Linked DNA regions of Bombyx mori. The protein of the gene in region 1 interacts with the protein of each later gene in a pairwise test. Links are inferred from orthologs where the notes say so. Each region holds a gene or a part of one and is shown in the gene's direction. Other genes may lie near its edges. The genes, in order: Erk, Dhs and splicing factor ESS-2 homolog.

The links.
Region 2: the proteins of Erk (region 1) and Dhs interact in a two-hybrid assay, tested with the Caenorhabditis elegans proteins (2 studies listed by BioGRID). The link is inferred for Bombyx mori from reciprocal best matches to the Caenorhabditis elegans genes mpk-1 and dhps-1.
Region 3: the proteins of Erk (region 1) and splicing factor ESS-2 homolog interact in a two-hybrid assay, tested with the Caenorhabditis elegans proteins (3 studies listed by BioGRID). The link is inferred for Bombyx mori from reciprocal best matches to the Caenorhabditis elegans genes mpk-1 and ess-2.

Annotation. Positions count from the first base shown.
Region 1 is NC_085116.1:4,097,813-4,105,844, forward strand, and holds part of Erk (extracellular regulated MAP kinase), read left to right. Parts: intron 1-1,671; coding exon 1,672-1,788; intron 1,789-3,774; coding exon 3,775-3,942; intron 3,943-6,445; coding exon 6,446-6,634; intron 6,635-8,032. UniProt on the Caenorhabditis elegans protein: Functions in let-60 Ras signaling pathway; acts downstream of lin-45 raf kinase, but before the lin-1 gene product in controlling vulval cell differentiation. Plays a negative role in proximal germline proliferation in the mitotic zone.
Region 2 is NC_085130.1:7,167,785-7,175,445, forward strand, and holds Dhs (deoxyhypusine synthase), read left to right. Parts: upstream 1-3,479; 5' UTR 3,480-3,602; coding exon 3,603-4,718; 3' UTR 4,719-4,767; downstream 4,768-7,661. Other genes in the region: tyrosine-protein kinase-like otk, read left to right, coding at 5,705-5,747. UniProt on the Caenorhabditis elegans protein: Catalyzes the NAD-dependent oxidative cleavage of spermidine and the subsequent transfer of the butylamine moiety of spermidine to the epsilon-amino group of a critical lysine residue of the eIF-5A precursor protein to form the intermediate deoxyhypusine residue.
Region 3 is NC_085122.1:9,652,723-9,660,854, reverse strand, and holds the start of splicing factor ESS-2 homolog, read left to right. Parts: upstream 1-2,835; 5' UTR 2,836-3,449; coding exon 3,450-3,605; intron 3,606-3,755; coding exon 3,756-3,909; intron 3,910-5,005; coding exon 5,006-5,143; intron 5,144-6,885; coding exon 6,886-7,079; intron 7,080-8,132. Other genes in the region: elongation of very long chain fatty acids protein AAEL008004, read left to right, coding at 927-1,097. UniProt on the Caenorhabditis elegans protein: Regulates pre-mRNA splicing.

The DNA of each region.
Region 1 (8,032 bases):
ATAGAGTGCTTTTAATTTGAGAACACACATATACAAGTGTGTATGTATTTTATTTTATGGAATCAAGCTAGGCCGACTCTATCTAGTAGTTGGTACAAGGGACAAAAAACTATTATATAAAAATAATTTTGGCTTACATTATATATATATTTATTTCCTTATATTTGTAATTCAAAATGTGATTCGATATGGCAGGTTCAGACGCTTAATTCATTTTTCACTGAATATAAAATCGTAGTCTAACTTTGGAGTGCTCACAGTGTACATTAATAAAAGACAGGATTGATAAATCATTCGCATCGATGGTACGTCAGAAAGTTCCGCTATCCTGGATTTTGACTGTCTTGCCAATGTTTTAGCATGTCAGTCGAATTTCAGAAGTAAGGTATCATTATAAACAACAGGCTTATTAAACAATGGTTCCATTTGCCTTCTATTACTATAATAGCTAATAAGCTCAGCACTAAAAAGGTTAAAGTCAGGTCCAGCCAAAAACGATTACGTGACTCCAACGACCAATTCAATTGCGTTTAAATAATCCAAATTTTTATTTTTTATTTTTTATTGCTTAAATGGTTGGACGAGCTCACAGCCCACCGGGTGTTAAGTGGTTACTGGAGCCCATAGACATCTACAACGTAAATGCGCCACTCACCTTGAGATATAAGTTCTAAGGTCTCAGTACAGTTACAACGGCTGCCCCGCCCTTCAAACCGAAATGCATTACTGCTTCACGGCAGAAATGGGGAGGGTGGTGGTACCCACCCACGTGGACTCACAAGAGGTCCTGCCACCAGTAATCCAAATATGCACTAATAGCTACTTAATGTGCACTTAGTATCGATCGTACTAACCTATGTCTAAATACATCGGACGAGTTATTATATTACGAGTAACCTCAATCAAAACAGTAAAAAAAAATATAGCAGTACAGTTCTACTGAGAGTACTATAGACGTTTTACGGTAGATGATTCTAGAAATAAAAAATTCATAGCTTCTTCAGTGTCTTACCAACCGTTAATCCTGAGCAATGTATTACGGCAACGTCGAAACTCCTCGAGATCTCGGCTTTTCGAGTGAAGGGGCTCGTTACAAGTGCTTTTCACGTTTTGGTTCGAGCGGATATACAATTTCTTTGCATATTTTGTTTTTTTAAAACTCGGGTATACTTTAGTGGAAGCTCAGTTATTTTTTCGTTGCTGTTACAATAATAAGTTGTTCTGTTTTTCTTTTGCGAAAACAATAAACAAAAGAATTAAATTCTGATCTAAGTACTCCTATTTTGAATATTCTTAACTTATCTTTTTTTTGTAACTTTTTTTTTATTGCTTAGATGGGTGGACGATCTCACAGCCCACCTGGTGTTAAGTGGTTACTGGACCATAGACATCTACAACGTAAATGCGCCACACACCTTGAGATATAAGTTCTAAGGTCTCAGTACAGTTACAACGGCTGCCCCGCCCTTCAATCCGAAACGCATTACTGCTTCACGGCTGAAATAGGCAGGGTGGTGGTACCCTCCCGCGCGGACTCACAAGAGTCACAAGAGGTCCTACCACACGTAAAAGTACTTCTGATCTACTCCTGTTTTAAATATTTTTAACTTATCGTTTTTCTTTTTGTAACTTAGGATTGCTTTGTTAATTTTTTATTATTGTATTGAACAGATTTGCGACTTCGGTCTGGCGCGAGTTGCGGATCCTGATCACGACCACACCGGTTTCCTCACGGAATACGTAGCCACGCGCTGGTACCGTGCTCCTGAAATCATGCTCAACTCAAAGGTATATAGTCTATAATATTATTATATCGAGAGGTGAAAGGCTATTTGGTTTAAGGGACATTTTTGCAACTTTAAAAGATAGGCATTTAAAATTAAAAATTTGGGAAAAAAATATAACAAAAAACTTCTTCAGCTATTTGATTTAAGGTAAACTTAATTAAAGTTCATTTAAAAACATCGAATTGTTGATGTAATTCCAAATAAAATGAATCTTTAATTACAAAGATAAATGATGTCGCATATTAAGCCAAATGTCGTTCAAACCAAATAGTTTTTTACCACACAATATAGTTCGGCTTGTTGTATCATGATGAAAACTGATAAATAATAATTTTCGAATGAAATGCTGAACGTACTTCGTTTTCTTCTAGTCAAAAATCGCGTTACAAGCTTATAAGAAAGACAAAACGTATGAAAATATCCGTGAATTCGTTTGAAATCCACTTGAACAAATAATTGAGATTACTAGAATGATTTTGAACAGCAAACATTGATAATACACTCACTAAATATGTTATTCGATAACACCGTAATACGTTACTATGTATGTGATATTTATTAAACGCGACGCGTAATGCGCCTGTATCGATGACGAATTGTATTTTTGAATGTTTGTTAAATGAATCATTGTTTTACTTATTAAGGCTAAGCGTAGACAACAATAGATGCTATGGCCCAAATTATTTAAATTTTCTCGCTTATCTATACTATTATCTTGTTACGACGATTTTTAGTTGGAATTCCCTATGTTCAGTGCTGTCGCGAGCGCGGTGGTCAAAGGTAGGCAAAAGATTGCGGGGTACGCGATTATCCGTGTTAAAACAAAAAAAAAACATGCTAATAATATTATAAATAGTATCGATAATCTATTGAAATAATGTTATCTAAACAAATACAAAACGAACACCAAGAACGAAGAATGTCCGATGGTTTCGTCTAAGTAATCTAGACTTTTTATGATTATTCTTAAGTTGGCCGACGCAGTTTTAGCAACGAACATACCACTCCATATACATAAAAAGTAAAAGCAAATAAAGCTCGCATCATAAAACTCAATGCCTCAAGAGACAAAACTGAGAGAATTTACGTTCCGCATAAAAGTCAACCTAAGCTGGAGTAATTTCTGTCCTGGCCCCCAAACTTGGCAAGAATTACACGTATCGTACGCAGAGGTATCTTTACATCGAGGCCCCGAACCTATTTGTTTACAGAAGAATTCGCATTCACATTTCACCTCCGCAATATACTTCACAGTTAAATGTTGAACGTGCCTGTGCGATAAAACACTTGAGGAAAGTAATACGATTTAAATGAAATTCTAAAGGACTTCTTAACTCACCAAATAAGTAGACTTCATTTGCTCTAATTGATTATTAACTTTATATGTTTCTAAAAATATAATAAACACATTCTTAACATGTGAAATATATCCTGAAACTTCCCTTACATATTGGCTTTACGTATTTCATTAGAACATTTTTGGATTCAATACATTCCTGCTATTCTCCTCGTTTAGGATATTTTGGCGTTATTCGCTGCCTCAATGTCAGTGAAGGCCTATAATATATGGAGACAAGAATCTTATCCGTCTGGCGTAATCGAGATCAAGTTTTGAGATGAAACGACAAAACAAAGCCCTAGTCTCTACATAAATTATATAATTTATTATGTTATTATCTGCGGCTTTATTTTGCCTTCTGAATAAACTATGGATGTTTTCAATTCTCCCTCAGAATTTATTACGTATTTAAATTTAATTAAAACAAAATGTCTTTTTCTCTCTCGCGCGATATACCGGGTAGACCTTAATAAAATTTCGTTTTTAAATCTATAGGAGACCGTACAAGCTCACGTATTCATAAATCCACAATTATTAGGTTGGTATTGTAGTCATAAATCTAGTCCCGAACGTTGACACATTTTAGGTACATCTGCTTGGGCGAGTAATGAAATTTTCTGATATAAAACGATTTTTGTTTTAACACAGGGCTATACCAAATCAATAGATATTTGGTCAGTGGGATGTATTTTGGCGGAGATGCTGTCCAACAGACCTATATTCCCGGGCAAGCACTATTTGGATCAATTGAATCACATTTTGGGAGTGCTCGGTTCGCCGAGTCAGGAGGATCTTGATTGCATCATTAACGAAAAGGTAAGCCAGTTGTAATATACCGATGAATTGTGAATGTTTAATATCCGAAGGGCCGAGATTAGTGGAAATTTTGAATTTCCTTTTAAAGTACTTTTGAAACTAATAAAAACTGTTGCATCATATTCAACTCAGTGTTTTACATAATGTTTAACAATTAATTATGTCTAATATTAAAATTTGTTAATATGAATTTTATCTGACTTGAATTTTTTGAATGATATAGTTTAGTATTTAGTATAATTCGACGTCGTCCAACGGTCATTACGAATCCTCTCGATCCATTAACAGTGCTTTTAGGTAAAACAAGCACCGGTCACCGTCCTCGTCGAACCCGTCGCTTGCGACGAAGGGCTCGACGAGCGAATTAACCCATAGACGCAGCCCACTGAATTTCTCGCCGGATCTTCTCAGTGGGTCGCGTTTCCGATCCGGTGGTAGATTCTGCGAAGCATTGCTCTTGCTAGGGTCAGTGTTAGCATCACTCGGGCTTGAGCCCCGTGAGCTCACCTACTAGTTAAGGTTACGCTGAAATAGCCTCCCAAGGCTATCATCAGCTTAGGTAAGAAAAAGAAAAATAGTATTATTTTAATTTAGAGACTATATTATTTATGAAGAATTTGCTCATTGTAATTACAAAGGTTGAACCATCTGTTTTTTTATTCCTTTGTCATTCTAAAAACTACACAGCCCGAGGCTACTACCATTACAGACATCCACTTTATTACATACAAAGGAAAATCCATTTTGATATCTGAGATCGCATCATATCATCTGTTCAACTATCCTGAAAATGATAGTCTACTGTTAATTATATATAGACTTATCGACAGTTACTATTAAAAAACTCGTTCGACGTATAGACAATTGAATCTACACCTCTCATTATACTCTGTAGGCTTTATTGCATCCTTTTGTCTGTATGTTTAGTGATTTCGTTTCTTATAAAGAGTGAATTCATTTCATACCACGTGGTAACTAATATAATAAGAGTGTGGGTGGGATAGTGTGAGTTTAAAAGTCTTTAATTCTTTTTTTCGGTATTTATTGAAAGAAATTTCGAATTTTCTGGTTATTCTGTTTAATTATTTTATTCAGGATAAAATATATTATAAATGGATTCTTTCGTGAAGTGGCGACTTGAATCGCACGTAATGATGTAAACTCTTCGTTTTTGTGCTCTTTTTCTAAGAGCCTAAGGGTTTTCTTGAGTTGACTTGGTTGAATAAGATACGTATTTAGACCGCGAATCAAATGAGTCCTTTAAAGGAGGGTCATTAAGAGTCTATGTCCCATTAAACTCTCAATACTGTTGAGCTGCATCTTAGTTTACCTTAATATGTGAGTGACACTTTGTCTGCCTATTCGATATTGTTTCGAGGTTTAGTTAATGCTTTGTACACGGTACTACTACGGGAAGTTTTGAAATCTAGTTGTTTTGCTATAATATGTAATCTTTTTATCTATCGGCTTATTCAGAACGTTGTAGGTAACATATTTATGCAATCGCAATGGGCTTTTGATACTGTTATATTAATTTTTTGATGTTGACTAGCAACATACATATTTTTTAATTAAACGTAATCATACGTTAACAACAAAATAAAATTGTTGCTAAAAGTAATGTGACGATGATGTTGAAAGAAATTTTCTGTAAATAGTCTTCGATTCAACATATTTGTTACAATACTTACAAATTAAGTGCTTTACAAAATTACTAAGGTTCTAACAATAACAGCTTTATAATATTATATTCAATTTTATTACTCTCGGGATTGCTCGATGTAAAATCAGCACAACAAAGACGTAAACGGAATGTTTTTAATTTTCCTTTTAAATCGACTTCGTCTATTATACGCAGCGTCGCGAGTGGAAAAGTTTTCATACCGCTTTTGTATAATTTTGGGCCTGAAATTTGCCGCATTAATTAACCTCATCAAAAATTCAATTATAATTGAATATGGCAATTCCGAAAAGGGCACATGTCGCATATTTTGTCAAATACGTTTTTTCATATACATGTAGTTTTGAGGCTTACTTACACCCATTTTATAATAATTCCAGTAATTTTCAATTACTAATTAACACTAAGATATATCTCAAAAGTTAATATTTTAAATTTTACACTGCTTTGAAAATAATCAGATATTTTTTTTCATTTCCTGAACATTTTACATTTTCAGAGATGTGCCCTTTTCGAAATTGCATATTCAATTATAAAAGACTAGCGACCCGCCCTCGCTAAGCTTCGGAAACTATAATTTATTATTGATTTCTCCACTATTTAATGGATGTTATTATACATATAAACCTTCCTCTTCAATCACTATCTATTAAAAAAAACTGCATCAAAATCCGTTGCGTAGTTTTAAAGATTTAAGCATACATAGAGACAGACAGATATAGGGACAGAGAAAGCGACTTTGTTTTATACTATGTATTGATTTACGAATGTTTGCGTTTGCTCCTAATGTTTAGCCCAAAATGTTGTTTGCTGTTCAATCAGGCTCGTGGTTACTTGGAGTCGTTGCCGTTCAAGCCTCGCGTGCCGTGGGTGGACCTCTTCCCCGGAGCGGACCCTCGCGCCTTGGACCTGCTCCATCGCATGCTGACTTTCAACCCTCACAAACGCATCACGGTCGAGGAAGCCCTAGCCCATCCGTACCTCGAGCAGTACTACGACCCGAATGATGAGGTATGTAATAAACGTTGTTTTCATAGACGCTTGTTTTGAATTGGATTCTACTATTATTGCTTATGGATTTGACATTGACCAATTCAAAACATCGAAGAAGTGCGTTTGGCCTTATGACCGAAAGTAATAAGATTTGACAACAATAAGACAAGACATGTCTTCGGCCTTACGATCAAGAACAATGAAGACGTGGCTTCGGCCTTTAAAACTACCAAAATTTTCCAATTATTACCAAAAACAAGACCTGGCTGTATGGACTAAAGTCCTTGGCCTTTCCCATTAGGGATAAATTAATATCATCATCATTGTTTTGAATTGTACGTTGCATTTTGAGTTGCACATGCATGCAGTGACTATGGTGTGTATGGTCGCAGACGCGGTGATTTTATCCCTTAGTACCAAAATATTTGCGAAGCAATCATGCTGAATTCATGCATGAATTGGAACACGATTATCCCATACTAGTAAATACTTATGCAATTAATTACAATCTTAAGTGAAATTCGTTTATTTATTGTATTATTATAATTCGATGAAAAGTAAATTTAACAATTTTATGTTCTATAAATAAAAACGAAAGCAAACAGGTGGCATACGATTGTAATTAAATGAAAAAAAAAAGAAAATATTTGAGAAAAAAAAAAAAAAAAAATGCCCGCTGTGTTTGTTTCGCCGGTTCTTCTCAAGACTGTGGCTTTTTTTGGAACCGGTGGTAGAGTTAACATTTTCATTTATATTTTACCATTCAACTAGTGTGTTTTTGATGACATCCAAGTTGAAATAAATGGTTTTGAATTTGAATTTGTATTTCAAAAGTTATATGAAAATCGATGTAAGTTAACAAAAAAAAAAGGTTTCACTAATAATAGGAACGAATGTCTTCTAGTAGCACGCAAATTTACGTAATACGTTTTAAACACTTTTTAATTAAATGCAAGCTTTTGCGTTCGGTGAAAAATTATGCACGGTCCTTGAAAGGGGGCTTCAGAATGAAGCTACGGCGGTGTAATTAAGGCTTTAAGGCAAAGCATTACTGCGGGGCTTAGTGCTCGGGCACCTGAATACGTTCACTTAAAACGAGACTTATGATTAGACTAGAGTCACTAGACTCATGTTTATGTAAAACCGGCCAAGACATACAACCGAAATTTTATACGTAATAAGTCGTACATGTACTGTATTTGAGCGGGTTCTTCACTAAGAATGCTTAGGAGCAGACAATTCGGTCTACCCTTTTGTAGAGATATACGATACAGGGAATATCTTCAACCGAGCGGGTGATATTGCTCGGCAGACCGACGGTCCTGGTGCGCTGATGATGAAGTGTGAAGGCTGCAGTTGTTCCGTCGCAGGTCACCAGTTTGGGGAGCTTAAACGACGAAAGGAATATCTTCCACC
Region 2 (7,661 bases), on another chromosome or scaffold:
TAATTATTAAATATGGTAGAATAACAGTTTTTGTTAATAAATATTAACATATAATAAACTAAACTATATATTATTATGTTAATTATTGCCAACAGTGGCGTTTGCGCCCATATACACTATACCCTATTCCAATTACGAAGTCCCTTTCGACACTTTTTAGAACATAACTCTTCGTTACGCATAATCTATATATTAAATAAAAATGAATTGCTGTTCGTTAGTCTCGCTAAAACTCGAGAACGGCTGTACCGATTTGGCTAATTTTGGTCTTGAATTATTTGTGGAAGTCCAGATAAGGTTTAAAAGGTAGATAAATATGAAAATTCTCGGAATTAAATAAAAATACTTAACAATTTTGTTTTTCCTTTGCTGTCTCTCGTCGAACGAATTCCTTTTGTTTGTCTTATGTTTATTTTATACAAAAGTTTAGGTCTTTTATTTATCGATTGAGGCAATACGTGTGGAAGATTTCATACTCCTCCGTCCGCGCAATTTTCGTAAAAAAGGATACAAAGTTTCTGCTTCACGTATTAATATATAGATAATAAAATCTGTCAAACGGGACTTCGTAATTGGAATAGATTAAAGTGGGCTGGTTTCTGAAATAAAAGGTTTTAATGAATTAGAAAAAAAAACAATATTTATTTTAGATTAAAGTGTAATGGTCAGTGATTGCAAAAAATGTATGTACCTAATACGTGTAATGTTGTTTGTTGGTCAATATTTGGTCATTGGTTCCAATATATTGGCGCAAACTGTCATTTGCATCATTTCACGTTGTTTACATAAAGTGTTATTCATTTATTTGTCGTTCGTCGAATGCATTGTGCTTTGAAGGCCGTGTTATAAAATTGTCGTAATGAAATTCCTTTGTTTTTTTACGAAACAGAAAACACAATTACGGCAAATATGTTTACAAATACATTTAGATGTAACTACATACGTAAAAAAGCATATTTATATCGAGTTATGAAAGGTTTTTCGATTAATACGCAACATTTATCTTTGTAGTTAAAAGTTCGTTTTTGACTGGTGGTGGTAGGACGTCTTGTGAGTCCGCACGGGTAGATACTACCGCCCTGCCTATTGCTGCCGTGAAGCAGTAATGCGTTTCGGTTCGAAGGGTGGGACAGCCGTTGTACTTGCGACCTTAGAACTTATATCTCAAGGTGGGTGTCGTATTTACGTTGTAGATGTCTATAGGCTCTAGTATCCACTTAGCACCAGGTAGGCTGTGAACTCGACGGTCCATCTAAGCGATAAAAAAAAGGGTAATCAGTAGTCCCTCGATCTTTCTCTATGTGATGTTCAGACTGCTGTTTTTTTTATTGCTTAGATGGGTGGACGAGCACATAGCCCACCTGATGTTAAGTGGTTACTGGAGCCCATAGACATCCACATCGTAAATGCGCCACCCACCTTGAGATATAAGTTCTAAGGTCTCAAGTATAGTTACAACGGCTGCCTCACCCTCCAAACCGAAACACATTACTGCTTCACGGCAGAAATAGGCAGGGTGGTGGTACCTGCCCGCGTGGACTCACAAGAGGTCCTACCATTAGTTATATAGGATTGTCAGTCTCTGGTACCTATACCACATGGAATCCTAAATTGGGGCCGGACAACCGTGCGTAATTAGCTCGCAATTATTTAATTTATTAAAACAAATCTTATTTGTAAAAGGTGATCAAAATCTAACAAAATTATCCGCATACATTCGTTTCGTATCATTTGCGGTTACATGATCGGACACAGTGTAAATTGTTCGCAGATACTCAGGTTTAAAACTTCAAGGTTTTTAAAGAGCTTTTTTTCACTTATTATAGATTTTAAAAGCACTACCTAGTGAACTTGATTGGTGACGCGACTTGCAGATTCAGCGTGGATGAACTGACACTGCATTATGACGTACTTAATGGATGCGCTTGGCAAATACGTCAATGGACATCTCAGGCAATGGATTTTAGATAAAGATATGAGGTTATTATATTTGCTTTTGTTTATTGATAAAATAGGTAAACGAGTTCCCGGTCCTCTAGGTCTTAAATGGTCACCGGAGCATATAAACATCAAGCACGTCAATGCCACCGCCCATCTTGAGACTACTATCTATACAAATACTACAAATCTATACTAATATACAAATCTACCGTTAGTTATAACGGAACATCCACCACCTGAACCATGCATCCGATTGACTGTAGAAAATACATGTACTTAATGGATAGGCTAATATTTATATGAGTGTTAAACTCCCTAATAATAATGACAATAAATAATAATGTTAAGTTTAAATGCCCAGCGAAGCGGGCGAGTACAGCTAGTAATATAATAAAAACATAAGAAAAACTAAGTCCGTGAACGTTGAAATACGAATGACCCTTTGAACATTAGCTACACTGTGTCAAATCCCGTTTGCTTAACACATACGTAACACCTGCGCATGCGTAGAAAGTCGAATACAAGCACATCTTACCACAAATATGCCGGCCTTCTCCTACATCATTATTATTGTATGTACTTGACGGATAATAATTTAATTTTCATAAAACTTGTTTCTCAATCAGCAACGGACTACAAAAAAAAAAAATACTATTTACATTGTAGTTTTAAAAAAAATCGTTAATTAAGTAAAAGGTCGACTTGAAAAAAAATATCGTTTTATTCCTTGTTATCTTGCACAGTTTATAACAACAACTTATTAAAATTATTGTACTGTAATCGAATCTCGATACGTGTACAAATTTTTAAATCAATTTGACATTTTAAAATTGTGGAAATTAACGTTAAAAGATATACAAATTAGATAGGTAGAGAGATTGATACAAGTTTATAAAAGCGTAGTAAAAAAATAGTACCAATTGAGGATAAGCTCTTGAAGTGAGTAATTATAAAACAAGAGAGTTTCTTTAATTTATAGTACTGACATTTTAGTTACATATTGAAATTTTATTTCACTAAATATATCTAATGATTCCACAGTAGATCTATCGATTAGAGCGCAAACCGCCAATTATGTGGCTGGTTATTATTTGTGTGTATAAATATATGTCAGCGCAGCGGGGCTGGCTAAGCGGTAGTTTCCGTCATCACTCGTATTTGGTTGAACTCAGTTTATAAAAAGTCAAAACAACGTCTTAATATTACTAAAAGTCGTTAACCACGACATATATATATATATAGGTTATCGCTTATTTCAAACTGGAATTGAATAGAATCAGTGTTTTGGAATGGTTTCCTATTGTCCTTTTTACATTTTGATTTTTAACTATTTGTACTATAACTCCGTGTCAGTTAGCCGTTGTGTTCTTTAAGCTCATGTCTCATTTAGATAATTACCTAAGCATACAGTTCTGTAGATAATTCGTGTGTCAATACGACTTTTGAGAAACTATGTGTAGTGATCTAGTGCCTTTTTATTTATAAAATTTAAACCGGTGACAACTGACAGCTCTCAGTCAGTAATGTCAAATGACATTATTGACCAATGACAATTCAAATCAAACTAAATTTATTTATTAGATTAAAATATTTTCGATTGGGACGTTGATTTATATTAAGGGTATTATGGGTAATTGATCTGGAAAATAACAAAAACAGCTATGGAAATCCCGTGCAACGTCGAAAAACCTGTTAAAGTAGCCCCAAATATTGCCGTAAATGCGGTTCTGCAACCGAGCCAAGATTTACCTGCAGAAACACCGATAGTCGCGGGCTACGACTGGGAAAATGGAACCGATTACAATAAAATACTCGAATCTTACGCTAACTCCGGATTTCAGGCCACGAATTTCGGTAAAACTGTCGTCGAAATCAATAATATGCTCAAAAGCCGAGCGGTTCCGTTAACCGAAGAAAACAGCGATTGTTATGAAGAAGACCAGTTTATTAAGAAGAAAACTAACTGTACTATATTCCTCGGGTATACTTCTAACATGATATCCTCGGGACTGAGAGACACGATCCGTTTTTTAGTTAAAAATAAGCTTGTGGATGTGATTGTGACTACAGCTGGAGGGATCGAGGAAGACTTGATAAAATGCATCGCTCCGACCTATGTAGGTGATTTTAATTTAAGCGGGAAAGTGTTAAGAACACGAGGTATAAACAGGATAGGCAATTTGTTGGTGCCAAATGATAATTATTGTTTGTTTGAGGAGTGGGTCACTCCATTGTTGGACGAGATGATCTCTGAACAGATGAAAGAGGGTACTGTTTGGAGTCCGTCGCGCATCACAGCCCGGTTAGGGGAGAGGATTAACAATGAGAGCTCAGTGTGCTATTGGGCTTGGAGGAACAACATACCTATATTTAGTCCCGCATTGACTGATGGATCCTTAGGCGACATGATGTACTTCCACTCGTTTAAGCGTCCCGGACTGATCATAGACATATTGGGAGACCTGCGCAGATTGAACACCATGGCCGTCAAAGCCAACAACACTGGAGTCATAATATTAGGTGGGGGTTTGATCAAACATCATATTTGTAACGCAAATCTGATGCGTAATGGTGCTGATTACGCTGTGTACGTGAACACGGCCAGTGAATTTGACGGCAGTGATGCAGGTGCCAGGCCCGACGAAGCAGTCTCGTGGGGCAAAATCAGACCTAATGCGAATCCAGTGAAGCTATATGCAGATGCTACGTTAGTGTTCCCCTTGATCGTAGCTCAAACATTTGCTAAACATCATTTTAGCAGTAAGAAAAATGTTTAAACTGCATTTTTTATTTATTTTGTACATTAAAAACTAAATGATACCAAGATAAGTTTTATTTATTTATTTTTAAAATTTATTTTTTATGGACGAGCTCACAGCCCACCTGGTGTTAAGTGGTTACTGGAGCCCATAGACATCTACAACGTAAATGCGCCACCCACCTTGAGATATAAGTTCTAAGATCTCAGTATAGTTACAACGGCTGCCCCACCCTTCAAACCGAAACGCATTACTGCTCACGGCAGAAATGGCAGGGTGGTGGTACCTAACCGCGCGGACTCACAAGAGGTCCTACCACCAGTATATTCCGACTTTATATAAGTAAACTCAATTTTGTATGTACTAAAATAATGAATGCTGGCAAAGTTTATCCTAAAATGTTACAAGTCCTTCAAAATAAAACTTGGACACCTCATAAAATTATAAATACATTTATTGCAATATAGTGCCATCTAGTATCGGTCGATAATACAAGATAATTCTGTAAAGCGCCATCTATTATTAAACTTCGATAATATAATTGTGGTTTTGATTTTTGTATGATTTTATCTTGATTTTCACCATTTATTATGTTTTATAATATTGATTAATATACGAAATATGTGTAATTAGTTATATAATAAAGTTAGATGTATTGTTTGTTTAACCCATATTTCAGGACGAGTTAGGTGTGAATGAACTGTCAAATACCCAATGAAGTTAGCCCATGTCTGGTTTCCATAAAATTAAACATGTGTGCGTCTGTGAATTAAAGTCTCATAGATGTGTGCTGTACATAGAAAGCACAGCTTTTGAACCCCAACTTTTAGCTCATCTTTGGACGCGATACAGTGCGGTTGGTTGCGTCAAATCGTCCGCGTGCTTCCATAAATTCTTGTTATGATTCTTCCATTCGTCTTCTAATAATTAAAAAAAAATGAACAAAAGTCAAACATAACATTCTTAATTCAAATATTTAAATTATTTTGTGCCAGTTCGCTAAAATGGCTGTGATACGTTTCGTTTTATTCACGCTCATTTTAATCGGTAAGTCCTTTCGTCCTTTGTAGACTATTTATAGGTTCAGCCTGGCAGCCACAGATATTTAATGGGAATTTGTTAGGATACGTATAATTTGTTGCACGTTTTAACTGGAAACCGCTTTGATGTGACAGCGTGTGTGATGTTTTGTTTTTAATGTTATTGTTAGGGCCGGATGTTTGTTCTTACAGCCTATGTAGTCCTATTCACCGTCGAACATGTTTTATTATGATTTATTGTACGGCGATCGTGAATGTGATTAATTATAGTGAATACGATAATGATTCACAGAGATGTTTCTCTCTAAATATTTTACTAATATCCGAGACCTTTAATTCTTATATTTAGTATTCAACATATAGAAGCCGAAACCATGAATTAAATAAATAAATTAAAAAAAAAATTAAGTTTTTTTTTAAATTTTGCAATTTTAAGACAGCTTACAATATATTATCTTAATTATGCCATAATTGAAAAGTATGTTTAAAACAAAAAGCAGCAGAAAGAAATGAGTACCTATTATTGGCAAACTTTTTAGGTTCAATGGAATAAAATATAAATTCATGTTCAATAATTTATAATTAATCATTTTAATGCATACATGGTATACTAGAATTTGTTTTTCTGTTTTTCTAAGAATTATGATTTTGGTTGAATGTTCAAATGAGTACATTGAAAGAAATGTATAAAAATAAAAATACTAACTCAGCCAAATAATTGTAATGTCAGTCAATTCATTTTTCAAATGTAAGTAAACATTTTCTTGAGTATCTTGCTCCAATGTTTTAAACTATACTATACTTTTACTTACTTAATATATTATATTTATACTACTCTATACTATAGTTATACTATACTATACTTAGCTATAGTATAACCGTCCAATAAAATAGCTTGAAGAGGGGCCTGTTTGATGCTTTGTGACATAAGAATATAATGCTCTAAATAGGGCAGTACATGAGTGACATGAATATTCCTATGTACATCTCTAAAAACGCACTATCCACAGCAGTTGCAGTATGTATAGGCCGTATTCTTCCTACAAAGATTATAAGAAGAAGCTGAGACACATGTGCGCACAGTTAGGAAGCTCATCATGGAGGGGATGGCAAAGTTATTAAATTTTTAACTTTGTTCTATAAATAATGTAGGTACTAAAATTATTAAAATGACATCATGTGCTTTGTCCCTTTGTATAAAATATACTTGGGAGTGTCAGTGGACATTGCAGAGTCTAAATAGATCCCCAACCCTTCAGACAATAACTCCTATATCAATTTTCATTCACATTATATTAGCAGCTTGATACTCTAAATCTTAACCACGCTAACGCACTTACTCCAATCAAATGAATCTTTAAATGAATTCCGCGAGTCACATTCACGTGCAACATGAAACTTCTATGACCTAACTTGTAACATGTAAGTTGACTCGCAGTGATGCTATTGTGACGGTTTAAGGATAACAAGAACTGAATAAATTGATTATCTGTGTGACCCAAGGAAGAAACACGTAAAGGAATAACATTATTTCCTATCTTTGACTTGAAGCAAGAAAGATTTTGATTCCGTTTTCGCAACTCGACCGAGGTGGCATTATCATGTGACTTGAGACCAAACGTGCCGCATATATAAAAGACGAACGGCCATTCCCCGTAGCTCATTATTAAAGGATAACTTTCCTATTTTGGAACTTTTTTTTAACTTACTTCAAAGGCACACGAAGCTTGCGGTCATGCGTGAATTTCGCGATATAAAATACATGAAGTCAGTGTCGGAACGGTACTTCGATAAGGGGTCATGATAATCGTCTTATCGTTGCCGCCGCTGACTACTCCCCGCTGATCACGCAGGAGCCAGTCACCGTCGGCGCCCTAGACACGTCCTTACGGATACATCAGATCCAATTACCTTTGCATTA
Region 3 (8,132 bases), on another chromosome or scaffold:
GTCGCCACCGCCGGAACATGTCTGAAACAGTGGTGGATTCTGCAAAGCACTGCTCTTGCTAGGGCCGGTGTTAGCAATTTTTTCCAGGTCAAGTCCGTGAGCTCGCCAACCTGTCCGCGCGTACCTAGAATAATCTTTTAACCTACCATCAAACAGCTGTACGTTAGTTCCCAGACGAAAAAATCTATAATCTGTATCTTAGTGTAATCTTAGCATAAAATAGGTTAACAAACGTTCAAATGCATGGAGACAAATTACATAGTGGTAAAGTAGATCACTAGACGAGAGCTGTGTCATTGCACAGAAAATTAAAAAAAACCTAATTTCAAACGTTTTTTTCCTTTAAAAAAGGTCATGCACTGTTTGAATAAAGCAAATTTTTTATTAATACCTAATATAAGTCGTCGTGGCCTAAAAAACGTCCGGTGCATTCGTATGTAGCAATGCACCGGTGTTCGAATCCCGCAGGCGGGTACCAATTTTTCTAATGAAATACGTACTCAACAAATGTTCACGATTGACTTCCATGGTGAAGGAATAACATCGTGTAATAAAAATCAAACCCGCAAAATTATAATTAGCGTAATTACTGGTGGTAGGACCTCTTGTGAGTCCGCACGGGTAGGTACCACCGCCCCGCTTATTTCTGCCGTGAAGCAGTAATGCGTTTCGGTTTGAAGGGTGGGGCAGCCGTTGTGACTATACTGAGACCTTAGAACTCATATCTCAAGGTGTGTGGCGCATTTACGTTGTAGATGTCCATGGGCTCCAGTAACCACTTAACACCAGGTGGGCTGTGAGCTCGTCCACACATCTAAGCAATAAAAAATAAAAATAAAAACCTATTTCTCTTTGTAAATAAGTATACGATTTTGTACTTCACCTTAAACATATAACCTTAATTCTTTCCGTTTTTCTTGTTACAGTTACAATTCTTATTGCTGATACTACACTTCGGGCACGTTCTATTCGAACCCTCGTGCGAATATCCGAAATGGGTGTCATTTGTATTCCTACCACATAATATATTTATTTTATTCTTATTCTCCGATTTTTACATTAAGGCGTACATTTTAAAGAAAAATAAAAACAAGTAGTTAAGTAACCTAAAATAAGTAAATTATATTTTTATAATGTTTGTTTTGTTTGAATCTTTTACCCTCTTTTTAGCTATTACTAGCGACCCGCCCTCATTTCGCTTCGCAAACTGTAATTTATTAATAATTTCTCCACTATTTAACGGATGTTATTATACATATAAAACTTCCTCTTCAATTACTCTATCTATTAAAAAAAACCGCATCAAAATCCGTTGCGTAGTTTTAAAGATTTAAGCATACATAGAGATATAGGGACAGAGAAAGCGACTTTGTTTTATACTATGTAGTGATGATTAATGGTGATGTGATGAGTGATGGTGATTAACACGTTCGTGCGCCGAGCCGTAACGTAAGCAAGTGACGATAGAAATATCAACAATGTGACCCGAGTATCATGATATTATTATCTTTTATCAAAAATAATAAAATATAAAATTATCTTCTGCATATTAATCGCAAATAATTTTGTTCCGAAATGGGAAATGTCATACACATGTAAATGTCATAAGAATTTCACATAATAGCTTAGAAAAATTATAGGCAATAAATTAAGTTTTATAATTATTTATGCATGAATTTAGAAATAATATCGCAATAAACAAAGAAGGGCCACAATGGATATCTGAAATCTGGCTTTAACATTACTTTATATTATTTTCATAATTATGTCACACCTATTTTTACACAAGTAAAATCCTGAACGGGAACAAAAAATGTTTTGGGTTATCGCAAAAAGTATCTATTTATATAAAAATGAATCCCTATTTCCCTTGGTCATAAGAAATAAAAAAATAAGAAAATTGCGCAGAAAATTAGGAAAGTTAAAAAACCTTATTCACCACATGAAATTTTCTAATGGATCCTTATGTTTGACATAACATTGACAGAATGCGTTCTGCAAATATCCCCAAAGAGGATGTAAAAAAAACTGAATATCGTTTAAAACAAATGCTTCGGTTAAAGTTGTATTGGTAAAATACTTAAGAGGATGTAAAAAAAGCTGAATTTCACAGTTCACGGCAAACCGTTGCTGTTGGACCTATAAACGTTGTGTGCCAATATTTTAAGGCATTTAAGTATAAAAATAAAGTTGGCAGGCTTCAATTGAAATGGTGTATCAATTGAGAGGGTGAAAATACATTTGTAGCTCTATGAATTGCCAGAAGCAGCCAGAAGTGACTACGCAATAGATAGGGAATAGGGGAATGACAGTGCTGACAAAGTACTTTGAGAGCGACGTGGTAGAACTAATGGTTGTATTACACAATATACAAAAATCAATATACAATATAATACAGTCCGCTATAAAATATCCTATATTACATCATTTTCTCAGGTTCAGATTTGTATAAAAGAAAATTCAATAAAATCAATAATACATGATGGTCCCTCAAGTGAAGCGAGGGCGGGTTGCTAGTTATATATAATTGACAATAGGTGTTAAAGTATTAAAGTGCCGTTTTATTGTAATATGTACTCAAATTGATATAGAGCCTTCATGGTTTGAGATTTTTGAGTGAAACTTTTTTCAGATGGTACCTATGAGGTTCTTTTTTTGAAAAATGTGCAACATTCTGCTGCTTTTTTATTCAGCTTAAACAAGAAAGATGGATACTTCGAAAATTCGAGTGATTTTTAAATATGGGTTCCGACCCGGAACTAACGCTGCAGAAACAGCTCGCATATCAATGTTGCGTTTGGAGAGGAGTTCGCTAATGAACGCACCGTGCGATTACCGTACGCACCGTCGGAACGCGAGGAGTGAAGTTGTGTGATTTGTTTAATTTGTCTATTTAGTGTTTCTTCAGGTTTAAATGTGTAATAACGGTGGTTTATTAACTGTTTAATATCTGTGAAAGTGCACAAATGTGAGCAAATGGAACAAAGCCGCTGGACGTAACTTCTCGGGATCCTCCAAAAAGTATACTGAAAAAATCTTAGTAAATGACCACCATTTTACTAAGATTATATTTCATCCCATATCATCACATCTCATTTTATTTTATTTCGTCCCAGTTGATTAATGTCTCAAATTAATCATCTTCGTTTCATTTCACTCCATATTATCACTATTTATAAAAATAAGAATATACATTAAAATAAGACACGACTTAAAAGTCTTAGCTACCAGTTCATAAAATCACTTTATAAATTGACATTTGTCAACAAAACTGTGTGACATGTGTCACAACAGTTCACACTACAACACAGAAATTAAAAATACTTAAAAGGAAATCTAGATTATTGAACCTATTAGGGCATTAAAAGCCCTAAAAATATCCTTCTGTAGTTTATTTAAATAATTTTTATAAACGCACATTATTAAACAAGCAACAAACATTATAAAGAATGTCAGCTGGAGGAAGCGCTATGAGGCCTGGAGAGGCAGCATTACAGAACATGAAGCTGTTGAAAGCTGAGACTACTGTGTTCAAAGTACCAAAAATACCCAAACAGAAGTCAGAGAAGAAGAGCAAGGTTTTAGAGGAAGATGCTTATGTGGAGGTAAGTTGTGCTATATTTCTAATGATGTTCTTTTAAATCTTGAATTTTACAAAACACAGATCGTAGAGAGAGGCTCTGTTGCATTATTTAATTATTTATATAATTAACAAGACATTAAAAAACAATAAAGTGTTGTTGCCATATTTTCAGGGCATAGCAAAAATTATTCAAAGAGATTTCTTCCCTGACCTAGAGAAACTGAATGCACAGAACGAATACTTGGAGGCTACAGAAAACAAAGACTATCAGAGACTTCGAGAATTAACTCAAAAGTATAGCGGGAACAGACCACCTACAGAACCATGTTAGTATACTAATATTTCACTTTTCAGTTGTTCTCGAAGTAGTAAGGGGTGTGAAATTATTATGTAAATAGTCAAAGATTTTACTGGCCATATTGTCAGCCCGCAAGGATGGGTGTAATAATCCTGTCTAGTTATGCTGCAGTAATCATGTGTTCCAATTTGAAGGATCGGACAGCTTGTGCAATATAATTGAGACTACCCACATGTATGAAAGTGGCAGCACATATATTGGATATATGAGTTTTTGTTACCAATAAACTCTGAGTAGACTGTGAGCCATGTAGACATAAACCCACCTAGTGATTGATGTTAGTAAATGTGTGTCCGAATCTTGTATTGACCAGTTTGAATTATGTATAATTGTATGCTGTGATTTATTTATTGATCAGTAAATAAATATGTCTGTTAATAAATTATGAATTTGCAGAAAAACAAATAAAAAGCAAAAATGTTTAAAATAATAAAATGCAAATTGTAGAAACATAAATAAATGTAAAACAAATGAAACACAAAAAAAACAGAAACTATGGTACATTGCAAATTTTTTTATTTTTTTTTATTGCCCTTGTAGGCAGACGAACATACGGCCCACCTAATGGTGAGTTATTACCGTTGCCCATGGACTTCAGCAATGCCAGGGGCAGAGCCAAGCCGCTGGCTACCGTGCCAATAGATATATGCTGCATATAATATGCATATATAACCAAAAAGTGTGTCATAGAGCAGGTGGTTGGTTGTACAAACTCATGTCAGATGCAGCAAGAAGAAAAGGAAAGTCATGCTTATTAATCATCAATTTTTTTTATTGCTGATATCGGTGGACCAGCTCACAGCCCACCTGGTGTTAAGTGGTTACTGAAGCCCATTGACATCTACAATGTAAAAGCGCCACCCACCTTGAGATATAAGTTTTAAGGTCTCAACTATAAATGCCCCACCCTTCAAACTGAAACGCATCAGTGTTTCACAGCAGAAATATGCAGGGAGGTTGTACCTACCTGCGCAGACTCACAAGAGGTCCTACCACCAGTAATTGCACTATGTTATATTATGTTATTGATCCTATGGCTATAATTTTTTTAAATTAAATTACAGATAACACCCCAGCCACTTTTGACACGCCAAACATTGACCGGCCGTGCACTCCTGCTACCAACAATGAGGATGCTCCCAGACAAACAAAAAATGCCACTAAAGACAAAACCGCAGATATTACTGATAACCACAGCTTAGGTAAATATTTTTTAATTTAAATATCGGTAAAAGGAGCAGGAGAGAGGACAGCTCCCGAATTCATAATATTTGTTTGTAATAGTTGTTTGTCTGTTGAATGTTACAGCCGAATAAATAAAAATTCCCACGGAATTACTAATTAAAACTATTTAATACAACACCTAAGGTACACTTCAATTATCACAATTCACTCGCTTCGTTTCGCTTCGGGAAATCCGTTTGTGGTTTCGCTTCGAATAAAATTGATTAATAACTAAATTCATATCTATAATTTTTCATTCATTTCCGATAGCACCTGTTACTTACTACTGTTAGTTAATTGTATAATAATTTTTGCCATTTCACGTTAGATGGCGGTACTAATAATGATTAATAAGCTGTGTATGTTTGTGTAAGCTTACTGACCGAAATAGCATTTCAGTTTGAGTGACTTATAGACTTTTACTTATAACATGCATTTAAAGGAAACAAGTGATTTTGAAAATAAATTTTAAAATTGCCTGCCTTCTATGTAGGCTCTATGATTACTAAAACACTTTTCTCAAATTCTAGTTATGCTTTTCACACTTTTACCGTCAACTTTTAATGCAAAGTTATAATATTAAGAAAATTTCCTGAACATAATTTAAAAAAAAAGTGATCTTATATATATTTTTATATTTTGGAATATTTAGTATATATAGAACATTAGTGTATGTATAATAGTTTTGGTATACACATGTTTTAGAACACAACAAGTTTTTTTTATTACTAGAGGTCCTGCAGTAGTCGAAATTCGACCATAATTAATTGGAATTGTAAGTTTGTACACTATTATGATTGTATTTTATACTTCTATAATCACAAATTTCGTCAAGACTTCACTATAAAAAATATTAACAAAGACAAACAATATTTAATCTATTCTCAACTTGACAACAGACGTCAAGAACAAAAGTTTGACAATAAATAGTATGCATGCGTATGTGCGTCAAATACATGCACAGTTGCCAGATGGGGGGGATTCCCTGCAAATTCGGGGGGTTTTTCGACCTTGGGGGGGAAAATCGGGGGGAAAGATTCTTTGGGGGGACATTCGGGGGGAAAAAGTTAGTTGGGAGAAATTTCGGAGGTTTTTTGAGTATCAATTTGCAATTACAATTAGAATAATTATATACTATTCACAAGTCAATATTATAAAGGACAAATTATGCAACCAAATAGCAATAGAAACTGCCGAAGCGGTTCTCAGGATTCGATTTTCACTGCCAAATAGATGCATAAATTTTGTTCCCACATCGGACATGTTAAATATCTTTAACTTCGAAAACGAGCATTATTATTATTTAAAGCATTAAATAATAATAATGAAAGTGAATATGATCGAGGGATAGCTTGATTAAAAAATAAAATAATCCTTTTGGTTTTTTATTTCTTCTTTAAAATAAGTAAAAACTGTTTTGGGGGTTTTTTTTCTTCAAAAAGCCTATTTTCGGGGGGTTTTAGAAAAAAGTTGGGGGGAAATTCACACGGCCATCTGGCAGCACTGAATACATGGTATGTAGTGTGTGTAATGTTTTCTTTATTGATTTAATGTATCTTTTATGCATTATTTAAAAAAAATATTAGCATTGTGCACTTCTTCTCTATACTCTCTATAAGTGTGGAAAAATTCATACTCTTCCGTCCGCGCAATTTTCGTGAAAAGGGATACAAAGTTTTTGCTTTACGTATTAATATATAGATATGTAAAAAATTCACAGATTCCTTTCTGGCCAAACACACGAGCGAGGACAACGAAAGCTACGATCGAGTTATATCGTTGGAGCAAAAGAAGCGTGCAAATAAAATAGCATCGCAGCTTCAAGCCGAGATCACGTCTGCAACACTCGCAGATGAAGCACTAGCTTTACCCTCCATAGAACAACAAGCTGATCAAACGGAAAGGCCACATGAAGTAAGACATTTGATTATTATTCTTAAGCACGGACTATATAGTCCGAGAGCTGGTACCAATTTTTGGGTAGGTATTTGAGGCAAGCTGAAAACTTGTCACACACCTCTCCTATTATATTCCAACACGGAATTGCAGACCTGGCTGGTGAGTAGCGGGGCTAAATCAACCCCTACATTTTTTAAAATATTAATTTTTTTTCCCCAAAAATATATTTGAGGCAATACGCAATTTATATATGTTGCAGTGTAATACTTAATAAATACGAAAAAAAATAAGCCAGACAATTTAATCGGGGTTGTAACATTACCAGAAGCGTGCAAAAAATTTTTGCAAAAAATTATAAAAAATGTTTTTGAGGCAGCTTGAAATTTTAATGGAGTGTTATTTATAGCTAAAAAATAAGATTCCCAAAAAGACAGATCATTTCAGTAGGGCTTTCTACCTGCCAGGTGATCAAACAAATAATGGATGAGTACGGGCCTGTACAGCTATAGACAAGCTGTAGTGTGAGAGAGAGCGCATATCGACAGCTGTCTTCGTTCTTGCTTGCCGCGTTACTATTGGCACTAGCGAGGCCACGTGACTTACAATAACCCATGAGGTTTCTAGTTAGAATTTCGGAGTAAAAAATATAAAACTTTCTGAATTTGTACTAAATACATTTTGCATAAAAGTGATTGTATTGATTTATGGACGTTAGAGGGACATATTTTTGTGATTTCTTTTTTATCTTAAAAAATTAGTTATTTTACCAATTTTAATGCGAATTTAAACGTACTGAATTGTTTTGAATATTTGATATTTCCGTAAAAATATTTATTTTTTGAAGAGAAATAAAAAAAAAAAAAGTTTTTTCAACAATTTTTGTTCCAAAAATTTTTGTACATTATTCATACTGTTGCCCCTACATTCAAAATTAAAAATTGTTTTTTTTTTCTCTGACAGTATTCCAAGTCAAAATTTATACGGAAATTTAAAACTTTTTCATCTTAAAATTAATAAGGGTTACGTATTAAAAAAACCAATGATTAAAATATAAAATCGCAAAACTAG